3 linked regions of the Drosophila melanogaster genome follow. The protein of the gene in region 1 purifies or fractionates together with the protein of each later gene. This does not show direct contact. Each region holds a gene or a part of one and is shown in the gene's direction. Other genes may lie near its edges.

Evidence for each region. Proteins that work in one complex are often made in the same cells at the same time.
Region 2: the proteins of msps (region 1) and Hsp83 purify together in Drosophila melanogaster (affinity purification with western blotting; one study listed by BioGRID). This does not show direct contact.
Region 3: the proteins of msps (region 1) and tacc purify together in Drosophila melanogaster (affinity purification with western blotting; 4 studies listed by BioGRID, with this or other methods). This does not show direct contact.

The regions. Positions count from the first base shown.
Region 1 is NT_033777.3:16,049,120-16,053,822, forward strand, and holds the start of msps (mini spindles), read left to right. Parts: upstream 1-1,681; 5' UTR 1,682-2,057; intron 2,058-2,758; exon of another isoform or gene 2,759-2,797; intron 2,798-2,955; 5' UTR 2,956-3,025; coding exon 3,026-3,714; intron 3,715-3,769; coding exon 3,770-3,840; intron 3,841-3,904; coding exon 3,905-4,224; intron 4,225-4,283; coding exon 4,284-4,703. Other genes in the region: IKKbeta (I-kappaB kinase beta), read right to left, coding at 102-201; CG5013 (uncharacterized protein), read left to right, coding at 669-797, 849-1,463. UniProt on the Drosophila melanogaster protein: Binds to the plus end of microtubules and regulates microtubule dynamics and microtubule organization. Function in neurons is essential for adult survival, and is important for climbing behavior and activity.
Region 2 is NT_037436.4:3,191,245-3,197,559, forward strand, and holds Hsp83 (heat shock protein 83), read left to right. Parts: upstream 1-1,724; 5' UTR 1,725-2,123; intron 2,124-3,254; coding exon 3,255-5,408; 3' UTR 5,409-5,815; downstream 5,816-6,315. Other genes in the region: CG14965 (uncharacterized protein), read right to left, coding at 1-1,186; CG14966 (uncharacterized protein), read right to left, coding at 5,854-6,276. UniProt on the Drosophila melanogaster protein: Molecular chaperone that promotes the maturation, structural maintenance and proper regulation of specific target proteins involved for instance in cell cycle control and signal transduction. Undergoes a functional cycle that is linked to its ATPase activity.
Region 3 is NT_033777.3:4,743,415-4,748,444, reverse strand, and holds the start of tacc (transforming acidic coiled-coil protein), read left to right. Parts: upstream 1-2,030; 5' UTR 2,031-2,270; coding exon 2,271-2,648; intron 2,649-3,779; coding exon 3,780-3,981; intron 3,982-4,262; coding exon 4,263-5,030.

The DNA.
Region 1 (4,703 bases):
TGTTTGGGGGCTGGTAATGTGTGTTTGCGAAAAAGAAAATCCTTAAAATATTTATATGTATATGTATATTAGTGTTAGCCCATAAGGTGTTTATAGCTCACCAATTTCACGGCCCGTTGTTCGGTTTCGCCAATGGATCACTAGGCCGAATCCGCCCTCTCCCAGATTCCGGCACCGCTCCCAGTTCCCAAAAGAGTGCATCTTGTTGTTTTCGTTAAGCTTTATTTTATTTACGGAGCTCATTCTTCCAAGAATCTGAATCCCTCCATGGCAATCGGAAAAGCAAAACACCACAGTGATCATACAAGATTTGCGATATTCGATTGCTTATACACTAGTCATCGTTCAGCAGCAATCGCGGTCACGAGAATTTTGTTTAGAGGAGCGCTCAGCTGCAGCCACTTTCAATTGGGATGCATACCTTTAAATAAACTGGACGAATTGGGATACCCAAAAACGTTTTTAATTGAAGCTTAGAAATGGTGGCTTAAAATGTCAACTGCTACTGAAGTCACCCTTCGGTCACTATTTGCTTCACTCGCCTCAATTTTTATCGATTAAGTTATCGCAACGAAGTGACATCGCTAATCAAACAGGTTGTAAACAAAACGCTGAAAAATAACTTTAGTTTAGTGAAAATAGTAATACTCCTGCATGCTTGAGCTAAGATGCGTTTCCACATGAAGAGCGGCAGCGAGGACAATGACATTGTGGCGGCCACAGCCACTGCCGAGCATATCCGCAAGTTTGTCTTCAGCGGATCACCCGCCGAGCGACTGGAGATCAAAATACCTGAGGTAATCCTTAGAACCAGGTGTTCGTGTAGTATCTAAAGTGTCCGCCTACAGCTGCTTCAGGGTGCCTACTCCTTCTACACATGGCCTTGCGCACCAATTTTAGCCCACTTCCTGTGGGAGCGCCGACAGACACTGGCGGGCAAGCGCATCCTGGAGCTGGGAAGCGGCACCGCCCTGCCCGGCATTCTGGCGGCCAAATGCCGCGCCCAAGTGGTACTTACTGACAACTGCATTCTGCCCAAGTCACTGGCCCATATCCGAAAGTCCTGCCTGGCCAATCAACTGCAGCCGGGCGTTGATATCGATGTGGTGGGCCTGAGTTGGGGCCTGCTGCTGAACAGCGTGTTCCGACTGCCGCCTCTGGACCTTATCATTGCAGCAGACTGCTTCTACGATCCCAGCGTGTTCGAGGATATCGTGGTCACAGTTGCTTTTCTGCTGGAGCGAAATGCCGGGGCCAAATTTATATTTACATACCAGGAGCGGAGCGCCGACTGGTCCATAGAGGCGCTGCTCAAGAAGTGGAAGCTGCAGGCTTTACCCATCAGCATGGAGGACATTGGCAAGGAGTCGGGAGTGGATCTGCTGGAGTTTATGGGCGGACACACTATTCATCTTCTGGAGATCACGCGCATCGAAAGCGATGGCTCAATAAATACAACATAACAATTATACAATTGGCTTTTTTTATGCTGAATGTCAAATCTCTCTTAGTTAATGTTCTACACGGGAATGCTCCCAAACATCAAATAAATATTTGCCTGTGGTAATCGCTTGAAATCAATGTTGGCCAAATATTTGGAAATATATGTTTAAAATTTAGCGCGTACCTATCAAAGTTTTCCACCCAGCACACTAATTCTAGGTTTTAGGGGATGCTAGAGTTGTGAGTAGCGGTCACACTGGCGCAACGACGCTGTTGGAAAACTGCGAAAATTATTATTTATTTACCTACCGCGAAACCAAGTAAATTCCGCTGCACAAAAGAGGCTCGAAGTGCTGGAAACGTAGTTAAGTTATTGTTCATTGTTGCTACATTACTTGGCATCCCGGAAAGACCCCGTCGGTGTGTCTTTGTCGAATAAGTGTGCGTGCTTCTGTGTTGTGCCGTGTGTAAGTGTTGGTACGTCGTCGCCTGCGAAAAATCGAAGTTATTGCATTGCGCAGCCCTTTCAAGCCGCTGTCCCTGGCCAGCTGTAAGTCCCGCAGCTCCTCGCCCAGTCCCCGCTCTACGGCGGTACTTGGATCACAATTCTGATGGTGAGTGTGCTAGTGCGTGTACCGGAATGCACTCGGATGCATCGCGATTTTGTTCCAGGGCGTCGCAATTTGTTTGTCGCTAAAATGGGCGATATGTGCTTCATCTGCGGCTCTCAAGTTGCAGCCACTGGAAATTGATAGCCGCTGCAACCATTGGCGGTTGGGTGGAACGGTAAACGACGGCATAATCCAGACACACAGCCCACAGGAGAAACATTTGTTGTTGCCTGCGGTATGATCCGTTAATTCGAACTTGAGAGCGTCGGTGTGCGTGAGAGCTTGAAAGAGCGAAATCAAGAGAGAGGAAGAAACAAAGCGCGGGCATATCCGAATTGAAAAATGCTCTACTCAAACGTGAGCACAGTAGGAGCGCATCAAAACAATATTAAAGAGACAGATGCATGAATAATAAATGGGAGTGATGGAAAATCCACGCCTGATTCAGTCGCAGGCTTTCGTGTGCGTGTGTCACCTTTTGTAGTGGTTGTGCGGGGGGTATTTGCCGTGCCCCTGATTAATTGACTGAAAAAATAACGCGCTATTCAGCGACATGATATCACCCATCCTGGGTGACAAGCCCACCAACCTTTTCCGAAAATCCAAATTTACACTCTCCTATTTCTGCTTCTGTTTGCCAAATAACTGCACTTAGAAAACGACAATCTAAATATGGCCGACCCATTTACTTTTTTCCGCCCCTCGAGCGAAACGGATGGATGATTCTGCTTCCTTGGCCATCGGTATTTCATAGACTATTAAGCTCAATTTTAAAACATCAGCTCGATGACTCCTGACATCCGGAATAGTTCTGCTTCATTGGAAGCTTGGCTAGTTTTTCTTTTAAGAAAAATTCGATTAAAGTAGCTTTTTTATACATATTTATCTTTTTGTTTCGCAGAATGCTGCTTGAGGCTGTTTGCGACTGAGACCATTGAGGAGAACCCGAGTAGCGTACGAAACACGACACAATGGCCGAGGACACAGAGTACAAGAAGTTGCCGGTGGAGGAGCGGTGTGTCCATAAACTATGGAAAGCCCGCGTCGATGGTTACGAGGAGGCCGCAAAGATCTTTCGCGAGCTGGATGACGAGAAGTCGCCGGAATGGTCTAAATTTGCAGGGCTCATAAAGAAGATGGTAGTGGACTCTAATGCTCTGGCCCAGGAAAAGGGTCTAGAAGCGGCCCTCATTTTTGTGGAGAACAGCGGGCTGGCGGGACGCACAGTAGGCGACGTGATGACAGGCATCGTTCAGAAGTGCATTGCGGCGCCAAAGACCAAAACCAAGGAGCTCTCCGTCCAAGTGGCTCTAATGTATGTGGAGATAGAGAAGCAGGAGGCCGTCGTCGAAGAGCTGGTTAAAGGTATGGAGGCCAAGAACCCTAAGATTGTGTCTGCCTGCGTGGCAGCCACCACACTGGCCCTCCGCGAGTTCGGACACAAGGTGATCGGCGTCAAGCCGTTAATTAAAAAGCTTGCTCCGCTAATGTCTGACCGAGACAAGACGGTCCGAGATGAGGGCAAGCAGCTGGCTGTTGAGATTTACCGTTGGATCGGAGCTGCAATGAAGGCACAGATCTCAACGCTACCACAGGTAACGCTAAAGGAGCTGGAGGATGAATTCGACAAACTCAAAGGTGAACGCGTTGAACCCTCCAGGTGTGTTCAAGGATTTCTCTCTATCATTGCCTAGCTAAACCGCTCTTACTTTTAGATATCTAAAGTCCCAGCAGGAAAAGCAAGCGAAGATCGCCGATGCTGCAGCGACCGAGGATGCATATAATGGTATGAAGCCCTCGATATTACAAAAGCAGTGAATTATTGATTTGATTTTGGTTTTCGTATGCAGAGGATGATGGCGAGGCTGGCGTTGAAGAAATCGATCCTATGGATCTTCTAGACCCCGTTGACATTCTCTCCAAAATGCCCAAGGACTTCTACGATAAGCTGGAGGAAAAGAAATGGACTCTGCGCAAAGAATCGTTGGAAGTCCTGGAGAAACTGCTCACTGACCACCCCAAGCTAGAGAATGGCGAGTATGGAGCGCTGGTAAGCGCTCTTAAAAAGGTTATAACCAAGGACTCCAACGTAGTCCTCGTTGCAATGGCCGGAAAATGTCTAGCCTTGCTAGCCAAAGGATTGGCAAAGCGATTCTCAAATTACGCATCCGTAAGTAACTCTCACCTTCTTCCAAATAACGTGTTTTCATATGTGTTCTTCTATTTCAGGCTTGTGTCCCATCCCTGTTGGAAAAATTTAAAGAGAAGAAACCTAATGTTGTGACAGCGCTGCGTGAAGCTATTGATGCCATATACGCCTCCACTTCTCTAGAGGCCCAGCAAGAGTCCATTGTAGAGTCCCTGTCCAACAAAAATCCAAGTGTTAAGTCCGAAACGGCCTTGTTTATTGCCCGTGCCCTAACCCGCACCCAACCAACCGCGCTAAACAAAAAGCTGCTTAAACTTCTGACCACCAGTCTAGTGAAAACGCTTAACGAACCAGATCCAACCGTACGCGACAGCAGCGCCGAAGCTCTTGGTACTTTAATAAAGCTAATGGGAGACAAAGCGGTGACTCCTTTGCTCGCCGACGTCGATCCACTCAAAATGGCCAAGATAAAGGAGTGCCAAGAAAAGGCGGAGATTAAA
Region 2 (6,315 bases), on another chromosome or scaffold:
GGTTTAGAAAAGATTCAGATAAGGTTTCGGAAATGGAATCACTCTGACTATTTTCTTTGCTAGAACTAAGATTAATTTGGATGGATTGGGTGGGTTTCTCCAACATCGGAGTCTTCTGCTCATCCCAGAATTTCTCTTGCAATTGTGTATATCGGTTCAATATCGTACCGTTCTCAGGTGAAGCGTGGGAGTCAGTCTTTTGTGCTTCTTGGGGTAGCTTCCTTTTCTTAGCCTGCTCCTTGGTGGATTCATCTTCGTTCAGTCTATCAGCATCTGCCTCCTGCATCCCACGTTTTCTAACCACAGTCCCTTTAATTGGTCGGTACTCTTTTCTAGTTGGCACTTGCTTTTCTTGACATTTATCGGCAAGCTTTGGCATTTTCATAACGTCAATAATACAACTTTTTGATTTAATTTGCTTTTCTGATTCCTTGGTGACTGTTCGCATCTTGCTTGTATCATCAGTTTGTTCTTTTGGGAGCTGCTCTTCAAGCTGAAACAACTCATTCTCGCTTCCTGATTGACGCTTTACTGGTCTTTTAATCAATTTGATGCCCAATGAAGGCTGAAGTTGACTTATGATATCTAGAATGTTTTGAGGCATAGCCGAAGCGCTTGTTGATGTTGTAGAACTCTTATGCGCCACCGTTGTTTTCTCCGTGTGTACAACCGGCTGTTCCTGCTCCGTAGCCAGCACTTCGTCGGCTTCGTCTTTCCCTTGCGGTTCCTCCTCTTCTGTCAACTCTACTGTATTTCGTTTCTTAACAACATCCAAATTCTGTGTCTCACCATCCACGAATCCCAGAGGACACTCGAAATCTTTAGGTGGTATTAGGTGTTGCTGCTTTGGAGGCGTCAACTTCACGAGAAGAGCTTCACCGTTCTGGTCGAGATTTTCATAGTCTAGTGCCAGATCCCTGTTGATCCTGAACAAAGTGGGCGTCTGCATTGGGATGAGTCTGTCCATTTTGTAGTTCATGAAGCATTCCGCTCGAAAGTGCCGGGCACAAACTGTTTTGGCTGCCAGTTTGGACGGCGGTGCATTTGAAACGTCAGGGTTTGAACAATTCCTGACCCAATCTTTCAACCTCTTCGGATCCTTAACGGGGAACTTGAAGAAGTGCATATTGGGGTTGCGGCTAGAACCCACCGGACAATCACGAAAACAACACTTAGTGCCGCCCATTTGTTTAAATATAAGCAAACAACTTTTATGTTATTAGTGGTGGAAGTGTTAGCGTCAGCTGGTGATATCGATGGGAGGCATCGATAACAGAATTGACCGAAACCAAATGATCGATATGACACTTCTTAATTAATGAGAGATTTTTTACTTGACTGGGCTTGTAGCAGGTTTTGCACAGAAGCAATTATTTTCCGGAATGTGAAATGTCTGCTTTTTAGCTAATTACAACAAAAACTTTCCAATTTTTGTTCCCCAAACCCACTCAAGTGATTTCAAATTTTACCGTCCGCTTAAAATGGAACTAGTTTATTCCAGAGGAACCAGCTTGCACCACCAAGTCTCTGAAACTCTGGAAATATCGATAGTCTGGTGGAGAAAAGTATTCATAAATATAAATAAAAATTAACAGGTCATAAGCTGATTTGTTTATTATTTACTGTTAAAACAAGTAAAATAATATTGGGAACAATTAAATTTTCCATTTTCCTAATTACAGTATAAGCCTAGTGGGCGTTTTGATATCCAATTGTAATGTTTTAAGCAATCCCAGTGGGCTTTGCTCAATCGTTCGGACCACTTAGACGAATTTCCACCAAACTTAGTTCAGTATAATTTTTGAATTCGCCCGCACAGGTTGCGCACTTTTCGACCGTATCACAACACTGATCTACCCTAGTATTCACAGGAAGTTGCATCCCTGGCATCCAGAAGCCTCTAGAAGTTTCTAGAGACTTCCAGTTCGGGTCGGGTTTTTCTATAAAAGCAGACGCGCGGCGTTTGCCGGTTCGAGTCTTGAAAAAAATTTCGTACGGTGTGCGTCGTAACAACAAGCAGCGTCTGAAAAGTTTTGTGAATTTCCAATTCTATACAAAGCAAAGTGAAAATATCTGTATTTTTACCTTTATTCTGTGAATAGAACGAAAAACATACATACAAGGTGAGTAATGCAAATTACAAGAAAAGAGTGAATAGTTTATCAGTGGCTATGGCCAAAATGTGCATTTTGCGTGGTCCTGTGCATCTCGAATGTTCTTGACCCAAATGTGAGATATTGATTTTAAATTTCTAGGAGCCAAGTTTAAGAATTTTTTTTGATTAATTAAGAGGTGGCAACGTGCAAATTAACTCAAAATGCCGGTTTCTTTTATTTTTTGTCGCTTGGACGCATCTTCCAGAGGTTTCTATGCTTTAGCATGAATTAAACATCGTGCCAAATAGGCCTTTTAATTATATATTACTGTCCTTTATTTACAATTACATGTGGTTTATAGAATACAAGATTAATTTTTGTTTAATGCAATGGTCTTTTAGCGCTAAATCGAATTATGCCGCTCTTTTTAGGGGGTGACAATGCGCAAATCACATTTGCCGCTCGAGAATGTTCTAGAGGTTTCTATGCTTTAGCATGAATTAAACAGCGTGCCAAATAGGCTTTTTAATTATAAATTACTGTCCTTCATTTACAATTACACGTGCTTTCTTTGCATTCCCATTTTAAATTGCACATGCCGCATACGCACACATGCACGCCCATGACTAATACTTTCAAGTAAAAATGTGGCGTCAGTAAGCAAATTCTGTTAAATCGGTTTTTTAATCCTATTTGCTCTATTTTAATTGGTTGGTTGCTACTAGCAACTTGCTAGGCGAATTAGTTTTCCTTTGGCTTCTAGATGCTTCCACAAACTTCCTTGGTGAAGTACGAATTTTCAATGCAATGCTCACTCACACAGACACGAGTTTGCACACAGCAGGGGTAGAAAAATTATCAACCGACCCAATTTGCATAATTATATTTAAATATTTAAATTTAAAACATTATTTTGCAACTTAAAATCAATTCTGTTGGCTAATTGAAATTAAAATTCCATTTTACGGGTTGCAAAGTGAATGCTATAATTTTGACCACCACTGTACTTGTATATGCGCATGTTAAATGAGGCATGTGCAAAAGAGAAAGAAAGAAAAAGAATAAAACCGGAGCAGCTGCTGAAAATGCAGCTGCTTTTCCTTAGTGTTGAACCCACAGACTATAACTAATCCTAATGATTTTGTAAATCCATTGCAGATGCCAGAAGAAGCAGAGACCTTTGCATTCCAGGCTGAGATTGCTCAGCTGATGTCCCTGATCATCAACACATTCTACTCGAACAAGGAGATTTTCCTGCGCGAGTTGATCTCGAACGCTTCCGATGCCCTGGACAAGATCCGCTATGAGTCCCTTACTGACCCCAGCAAGCTGGACTCTGGCAAGGAGCTGTACATCAAGCTGATCCCTAACAAGACGGCTGGTACTCTGACCATCATTGATACCGGTATCGGTATGACCAAGTCCGACCTGGTCAACAACTTGGGAACCATTGCCAAGTCCGGAACCAAGGCCTTCATGGAGGCTCTGCAGGCTGGTGCCGACATTTCCATGATCGGTCAGTTCGGTGTGGGTTTCTACTCCGCCTACCTGGTCGCCGACAAGGTGACTGTCACCTCCAAGAACAACGATGACGAGCAGTACGTGTGGGAGTCCTCTGCCGGAGGCTCTTTCACAGTCCGTGCCGACAACTCTGAGCCCCTGGGCCGTGGCACCAAGATCGTGCTGTACATCAAGGAGGACCAGACCGACTATCTGGAGGAGAGCAAGATCAAGGAGATTGTTAACAAGCACTCCCAGTTCATTGGCTACCCCATCAAGCTGCTCGTAGAGAAGGAGCGCGAGAAGGAGGTCAGCGACGATGAGGCTGATGATGAGAAGAAGGAAGGTGATGAGAAGAAGGAGATGGAGACTGATGAGCCCAAAATCGAGGATGTTGGCGAGGATGAGGATGCCGACAAGAAGGACAAGGATGCCAAGAAGAAGAAGACCATCAAGGAGAAGTACACTGAGGATGAGGAGCTGAACAAGACCAAGCCCATCTGGACCCGCAATCCCGATGATATCTCCCAGGAGGAGTACGGCGAGTTCTACAAATCCCTGACCAACGACTGGGAGGATCATCTGGCCGTCAAGCACTTCTCCGTGGAGGGTCAGCTGGAGTTCCGTGCTCTGCTCTTCATTCCCCGTCGCACGCCCTTCGATCTCTTCGAGAACCAGAAGAAGCGCAACAACATCAAGCTGTACGTGCGTCGTGTCTTCATCATGGACAACTGCGAGGACCTCATTCCAGAGTACTTGAACTTCATGAAGGGTGTGGTCGACTCCGAGGATCTGCCCCTCAACATCTCACGTGAGATGCTGCAGCAGAACAAGGTCCTAAAGGTGATCCGCAAGAACCTGGTCAAGAAGACCATGGAGCTGATTGAGGAGCTCACCGAGGACAAGGAGAACTACAAGAAGTTCTATGACCAGTTCAGCAAGAACCTGAAGCTGGGTGTGCACGAGGACAGCAACAACCGTGCCAAGTTGGCCGACTTCCTTCGCTTCCACACCTCTGCCTCCGGCGACGATTTCTGCTCCCTGGCCGACTACGTGTCGCGCATGAAGGATAACCAGAAGCACGTGTACTTCATCACTGGCGAGTCCAAGGACCAGGTCAGCAACTCTGCCTTCGTGGAGCGCGTCAAGGCCCGTGGCTTCGAGGTGGTCTACATGACCGAGCCCATCGATGAGTATGTCATCCAGCACTTGAAGGAGTACAAGGGCAAGCAGCTGGTCTCTGTCACCAAGGAGGGTCTGGAGCTGCCTGAGGATGAGAGCGAGAAGAAGAAGCGCGAGGAGGACAAGGCCAAGTTCGAGAGCCTGTGCAAGCTGATGAAGTCCATCCTGGACAACAAGGTCGAGAAGGTGGTGGTGTCCAACCGCCTGGTGGATTCGCCCTGCTGCATTGTCACTTCGCAGTTCGGCTGGTCCGCTAACATGGAGCGCATCATGAAGGCCCAGGCTCTGCGTGATACCGCCACAATGGGCTACATGGCCGGCAAGAAGCAGCTGGAGATCAACCCCGATCACCCAATTGTGGAGACTCTCCGCCAGAAGGCCGATGCCGACAAGAACGATAAGGCCGTCAAGGATCTGGTCATCCTGCTGTTCGAGACCTCTCTGCTGTCCTCTGGATTCTCGCTGGACAGCCCCCAGGTGCACGCCAGCCGCATCTACCGCATGATCAAGCTGGGCTTGGGAATCGACGAGGACGAGCCTATGACTACCGACGATGCCCAGAGCGCCGGAGATGCCCCCTCGCTGGTTGAGGACACAGAGGACGCTTCCCACATGGAGGAGGTCGATTAAGCGACCAGTCGAAACAAACAACCAAAATTCATTCTATCACTCGCATTCACATACACAATTTACTTGCGTTTCGAACTTTTATACTGAGTTTACTACGGCCGAGTTAAATTTTGTATTCATTAACATTTTGCCGCGTTATAAGCGACAGACATACGCTTAACTCATAAAAAAGCAGGAATAACTCGTTAAATGGTTAGGTTCTCACAGAACATTCAAGAGCAGTTGTCGTTTTAAGAACTTATAATTTAGAATCCAAGTAATTTATGTAAAAAACTAAAGACTACATACGCGCCCTAGTTGGTAGAGCTATATAAAGAATCGAGTATATATATAATTAAGGTTTGATGACCCGATCGATGATAAACATAAAACCAAATAAACAACAAGCAAATGTGTTTTAAAAATCTAACTTCTGAGCGAGTATTTATTGGGGGGAATAAACAATCTATGAATCGGATTCTTTGCGCAGCAGCTGCTCAATGGCCTCCACCGTGGACACTCCCTTGGTTATCATTATTATCTTGTTTCGCGATCGAGATCCCTTGTCCAAAGAAACGTCGCTCTTTCGAAGACCTAGAACTTTCGACAGAAACTTGACCAGTTCGGCGTTAGCTTCTCCCTCGCTGGGCGGAGCGGCGATTTGGACGCCCACTCCTTCAAAGCCAATTCCTGTGATTCCGTTCTGCTTAGCCCCCGGCTTGGCAAGGATTTGTATGCATATATTGCCGCTCTTATCGACTGAAATCGGACTGGCTTCCTTAGCCGGCATCGCTTTTGCATCGTTTTTCGCACTTTCAACGCCGGCCTTTGATTTCCCCTTGCTCTTCGACATTATTTGGGCGTTGACCGATGTAAACAAGCGGCGCATTAGCTTCTTGGCAATTATTTTAAATATTTTGTGTTTTTA
Region 3 (5,030 bases), about 11 Mb from region 1:
GAATGGGCAATAAGCCGGGCAAGACACGGAAACCGAGGGCCTTGTCCGGGAAAATTACCATAAAGGCGGACGACGGACGAGGGAATCGGGTATGCCAAGGGAAAATCAAAAGTTACTTATTCTTCCTTCTATATATTTGTCTCTTGAAATTTCCACTCTCCAGATGGTGCACTTTCCATTTAAAAATGCTAGTGTGTATCGCTATTATGCCAATAAATCAGTTGGCGGCTAACGGCTGCAAAATGTCAGTGCCTAATGCGGTTTACAGTCCAAAAAACGCCCATCTGAGGATTTAAGTTTGACTAAATGTCATTTAACTCCATCTTCCCTTTTGCCAACAAAAATGCTCATTATAAAGGATCTACAGATGGTTTCCACCCCTTTCCACATTTGCCTATTTTTAGATCAGTTTATAGTTGGCTCTTCCTCAATATTTGTTTTCTTTTATTTTCCTGAGTTCTATTGGATATTCGAATTGCAGCTTAAGGTTCAAATTCCACTTGTATTCTATTCTATTGTATTTATTGTGTTTTCTGAAATCAGTATACTCATTTGTGGCCACTATTTGGATTCCACTCAAGGCTTATATGCTTCAACAAACTACATTGGTTTTAAATTCACCCTGAGCCGGGAACCGTGTGATATCTTGTCACCTGTCGCGCGCTGCTTGGATAACGCTAGAGCCAACATCTAACTATTCCCCCCTCGTCAAGGCCCATCGTGTGGGATTCCGTTTCATTGCTTACATTTTCTCGCCAAACATGCAAAGTCAGCCGTTGGGCAATGTGGAGCTTGCAGATAGTGCGCCATGATGCGCAACAATGGCTGTGGGATTGCATGTCATCTGGGACCCACCAGGCCTCTACACTTGAAACAATGTGATGAGCCAAATCAACATATTTATTATTTTAGAGCACTCTACTTGCCTCTACTGGTATATCTTTAAGAGAAAGCATTTTGCAAATAAGACTGTTCTCCAAAAATCCTATGGAAAATGTGCAAAATAATTCTGTCATCAAAGCGTTGAATTTGCACCAAGTTCCTCCAGTTGATTTGCGAAGACAATATAAGCAGTCGGCGGTCGCCGTATTCTCGTATCCCATTTATTTATCCCCTTCTTTAAGTGTTTCGACTTATTTGCGGTGTCTTGCACTTTCACTGCTGCCTTTCAGTCTGAATTTCGTCTGAGGCCTGTATAGTTTTTCAGTTTTTCACTGCAGTTCAGTCAAAAAGGTTGTCAACTTGAGCCCGCTCTTTTGACATTATTATTTTATAAATGTTGCCCACGACCTCGACCGTTTCCAAAATGTATTTCATATATCTAAGAGAAGTGTGTTTAAATGGATCAAGTGTGTGTTGCCCTCTAGCTTCATAAAACCCAATATATTTTCTCGAAATAGAAAAGGGTAACTATTCCAACCATAGAAAGGATAAGATTTCATCTTCAGAATCACCAGCCAAGTCTATCTGGCCACTAAGACTTATATTATTTATATGCTAATAAAATCTTTGAAGGGTATATTTCTCGTAGCTCCAAAAGCTGAGTAATGGGTAGTCGAGAAAAACGACTGAGTTCTCTGTTGTTTTGATTTAATTTTCATTAGGAATATTTGTGCTTAAAAGTTCAGAGTATAACTTATCGGAACTATTTCAAGACTAAGGATGTGCTAAATAAATGTTTTAAGTTGGTATGAAATCCATAATGTGTAATATACAAAGGTGTCTCTAGCCGCCGTCTCACATGTGAAAACATATGGCAGTATTATAAATGGAAGAGAGGACCGTGCTGATAAGGGGAGAACGCCATGTGGGCTAAAACGATCCAAACATGAAGACATACGAAAACATCCGGATCGTTATGTGGATGCCATTCAAACTATTCGTTCTCTCACTCGGTCTGTCGATCCCCCGCACTCTCGCCGTGCTCTAAGTATTTGTGCATGTGTGACGCTGAGCAGAGCAAAGCAAATTGAAAACGAAAATATTTTTAAATTGATTTTAAAGGCAGACATGATCGGGAGGCAGTGAGAACCGCACGCGACAACGGGCCGTGAGAAACCCGGAGGTATTACCCAATATAATGGAAGCGGAAAATCACAGTAAAGATTTTACCGAGTAGGCGAGCCCAAATCTGTGTCACAACAAAAACCACAAAAAAAAAAAAAAAAAAAAAACACTAAAGACCAAACTAAGGAACTCTATAGATCCATTATTTTTTGGAGCCAAGTGAACCGTATCGCGTCTCAGGAGTTAATCGTGCGTAGAGCGGCATGGATTTCCTCGCGAATATCATCAAAAGACCCAAAAGCATCGCCACCACTGGCATCAGCACCAATCAGCCAACGACAATGGAAGCCCTAGAAGCTGCTAGTCCCGCTGATGAATGTTCTACACCAAGGGATAAGGGAGGAGTTACACTTGTATCCGCGCACCTGGACTCGTTACTAGAGTCCGCCTCTGAGGAGCTGCAACGACTGGAGGGAAAGCACTGTGAACTATTTATGGAATCCATCTCGAACCCACTCCCAGCCCCCGAGGACAGCACTGATAGTAGAGAAGAAATACAGAAATTTCTAAGCGAAATAAACTTCAATCTGAACCAAGTGAGTGCTAACGAAATGGAGCACTTGCAAGCCATGAGTGGCGAGGTATGTCTGAAAGAATTAGGACTATCTTTTTATGTGCATCCCTGGGGGGGGGGGGGGGGGTGTTCTAGTATTAGGCAAACTGCATAAATCTACACATTGGAATTTTTTTGTAATGTCCCAATGTGTTTTGCCGATTGCATATATAGTATTTATGCGGTTCCACTTGGTTTTGTCACCTTATTGCGTTGCAGAAAATATTATTTTAAATAGGGTTGTATCTAGCCATTAGCTTGGGCTAATATTCCGCAGGAATCTGCTTCCCATTACCACTCAAATTTGAGCCCATTGTCAAAAAATTAAAATTAAAATACTTATCAATAAAATCGAAACGGAGAAATTGGTCTAATGCCAGAATTTTCCTAATTTTTAGTGTCTCGCTCATAAGCCGGTCACCACTCGCCTTATTCTTCTGACTTTAACCTTGCAGCACCCATTATACTGCAATGCGCTCTAATTAAATTCCGCGTGTAGAACGATGCTCCCAAACCTAAATAGACATTAAACATGGCGGCCGGCCGCATTGAATCCGCGGCATGTTTATTTCGCACTGCACAAAAGCTGACGTCGACCCAGTTCCACGTCCATCTCCCCACCTTTTGCTCCTCAATCCGTTTCGTTGCCACCCTCCCAAACATATGCCATATACCCGATTTTTACGTCTTGGCTGGCTTTTTAATTAATGACATTTGCTTTTGTTGACTGACCGACTGCGACAAACATTTGAAATGTATGTCTTTTTTAAGCGTGAATTGAAGGCATCTGTATCATATGGGCTACATTAGATGAGATTGAAGTTTTTCAAATGAAGATCATAATTTCATAATAATGTATTCTTTTGTATATGATAATAACTAAAAATGGGGGTCCTATGCCTTTGTATAATTTCTTGGCAATGGGAAAATACGGGAAAAGTCATCCCAAATGCGATTTATTTATGCCAACTGTGGTGGGGCTCTTGCCTTTTTGTGTGTCAAAAATTCTTAATTAAATGACCAACCAGCTGCTACTCGTGATCATCTTTAAAACCCCATTCCCAACATCGGTTGTTCACGGTTTAAAACTATTCGGATCATGACCGCGATGTACATCTTGATAACTATATTCTTAAATTTTGCATCTCTTGTTTGGCAGCTGAGTCCGTTGGCGGTGAAGCCCAGTCCCAAGCCAACGAGCATGGATCAACAGAAGGCAATGGCGGCAGCTCTGGGGCATCAGACGGCGGTACCCGGTGGACTTAAGCCAGAAGACGACCTCGTTCCAAAGTTTGGAGGTCTTCCCGAGTTCGATGAGACGCAAATACCGGAACTAGCTCCTTTAAGTACCGATATGGATAGTGAGTAAATCTTGTTTGTGTAACCCAGAAATCTCTTAAGGTAGAAAAATTATATTGATGTACAAAAGAATTCCATACGAAATCCGCCAGAAGAGCGAAGTAATTTCTTCTATTTCAATACCGTCATTTATACAAAGGAAAGGGCCAGCTGGGGAAAATAAATCATTTCCAAGTTTATGTATAAATTTCTCGTTGTATTAATTATATAAATAAATTTCTTATATGTATTTAATTATTATTAAAACGAATTGATTAATATATCGCATTCATTCCTCCCTTAGCTCAACTGAAATCCAACCATTCGGATTCGGATGTTTTTGTCGAGTGTTTATCGCTTCATAGCGAGCGCTACACCGGAGATCGATCGGAGTTAGAGGCATATTCAAGTGCCCTTAATGATGTTTTGGAGCAGCAGCTGTCCATGACCTCAGTTTCTACACTGGGAGCTGAATTCAACGATCCTTTGGCAGTTAGCCAGCACAACAACGTCAGCTATGAAGCCATGGATGTGGATGACCTAAACGAAACCATGGAAATGTTAAAGGACGTCTTGAATGCGGAAGACCGTCATCTTATGCAAACGCATATTCTCAGCGTAACCCAGTCAAAACCAGAGAATAATTTTGTGCACTATCATCCAAATCAGGAGCAAAATAGGGTTGAACTAGACCAGTTAGCCAAACACTCTAAACCCAATAGTGATGCAAAGGAATCAGAATCATTGGTAGAATCAGTACTGTCTGAGGAGTCTGGTACACAATCCTTTGAGCCGAAGCTCACCTTATCTGCCTTGGACTCTACGAAAGACTTAGCTAAGCATCAAGAGGAAATGCAAACAAATACAAAAGATATATTTCAGAAAGAGAAGCACCACCCGGTCAGTAGTGCTCAGGTGAAGGACGCACAAAATCCTAAGGAGCCTGAAAAGGCCTTAAATCTCAAAGAGGCTTCTTCAGAACTGTCCACAAAATCAGCAAAATCTCTAGAATACCCTAATCAAGAGAAGCAATTTTCGGTGGCAGTAGAATCAATGGAGAGACCATGCACTG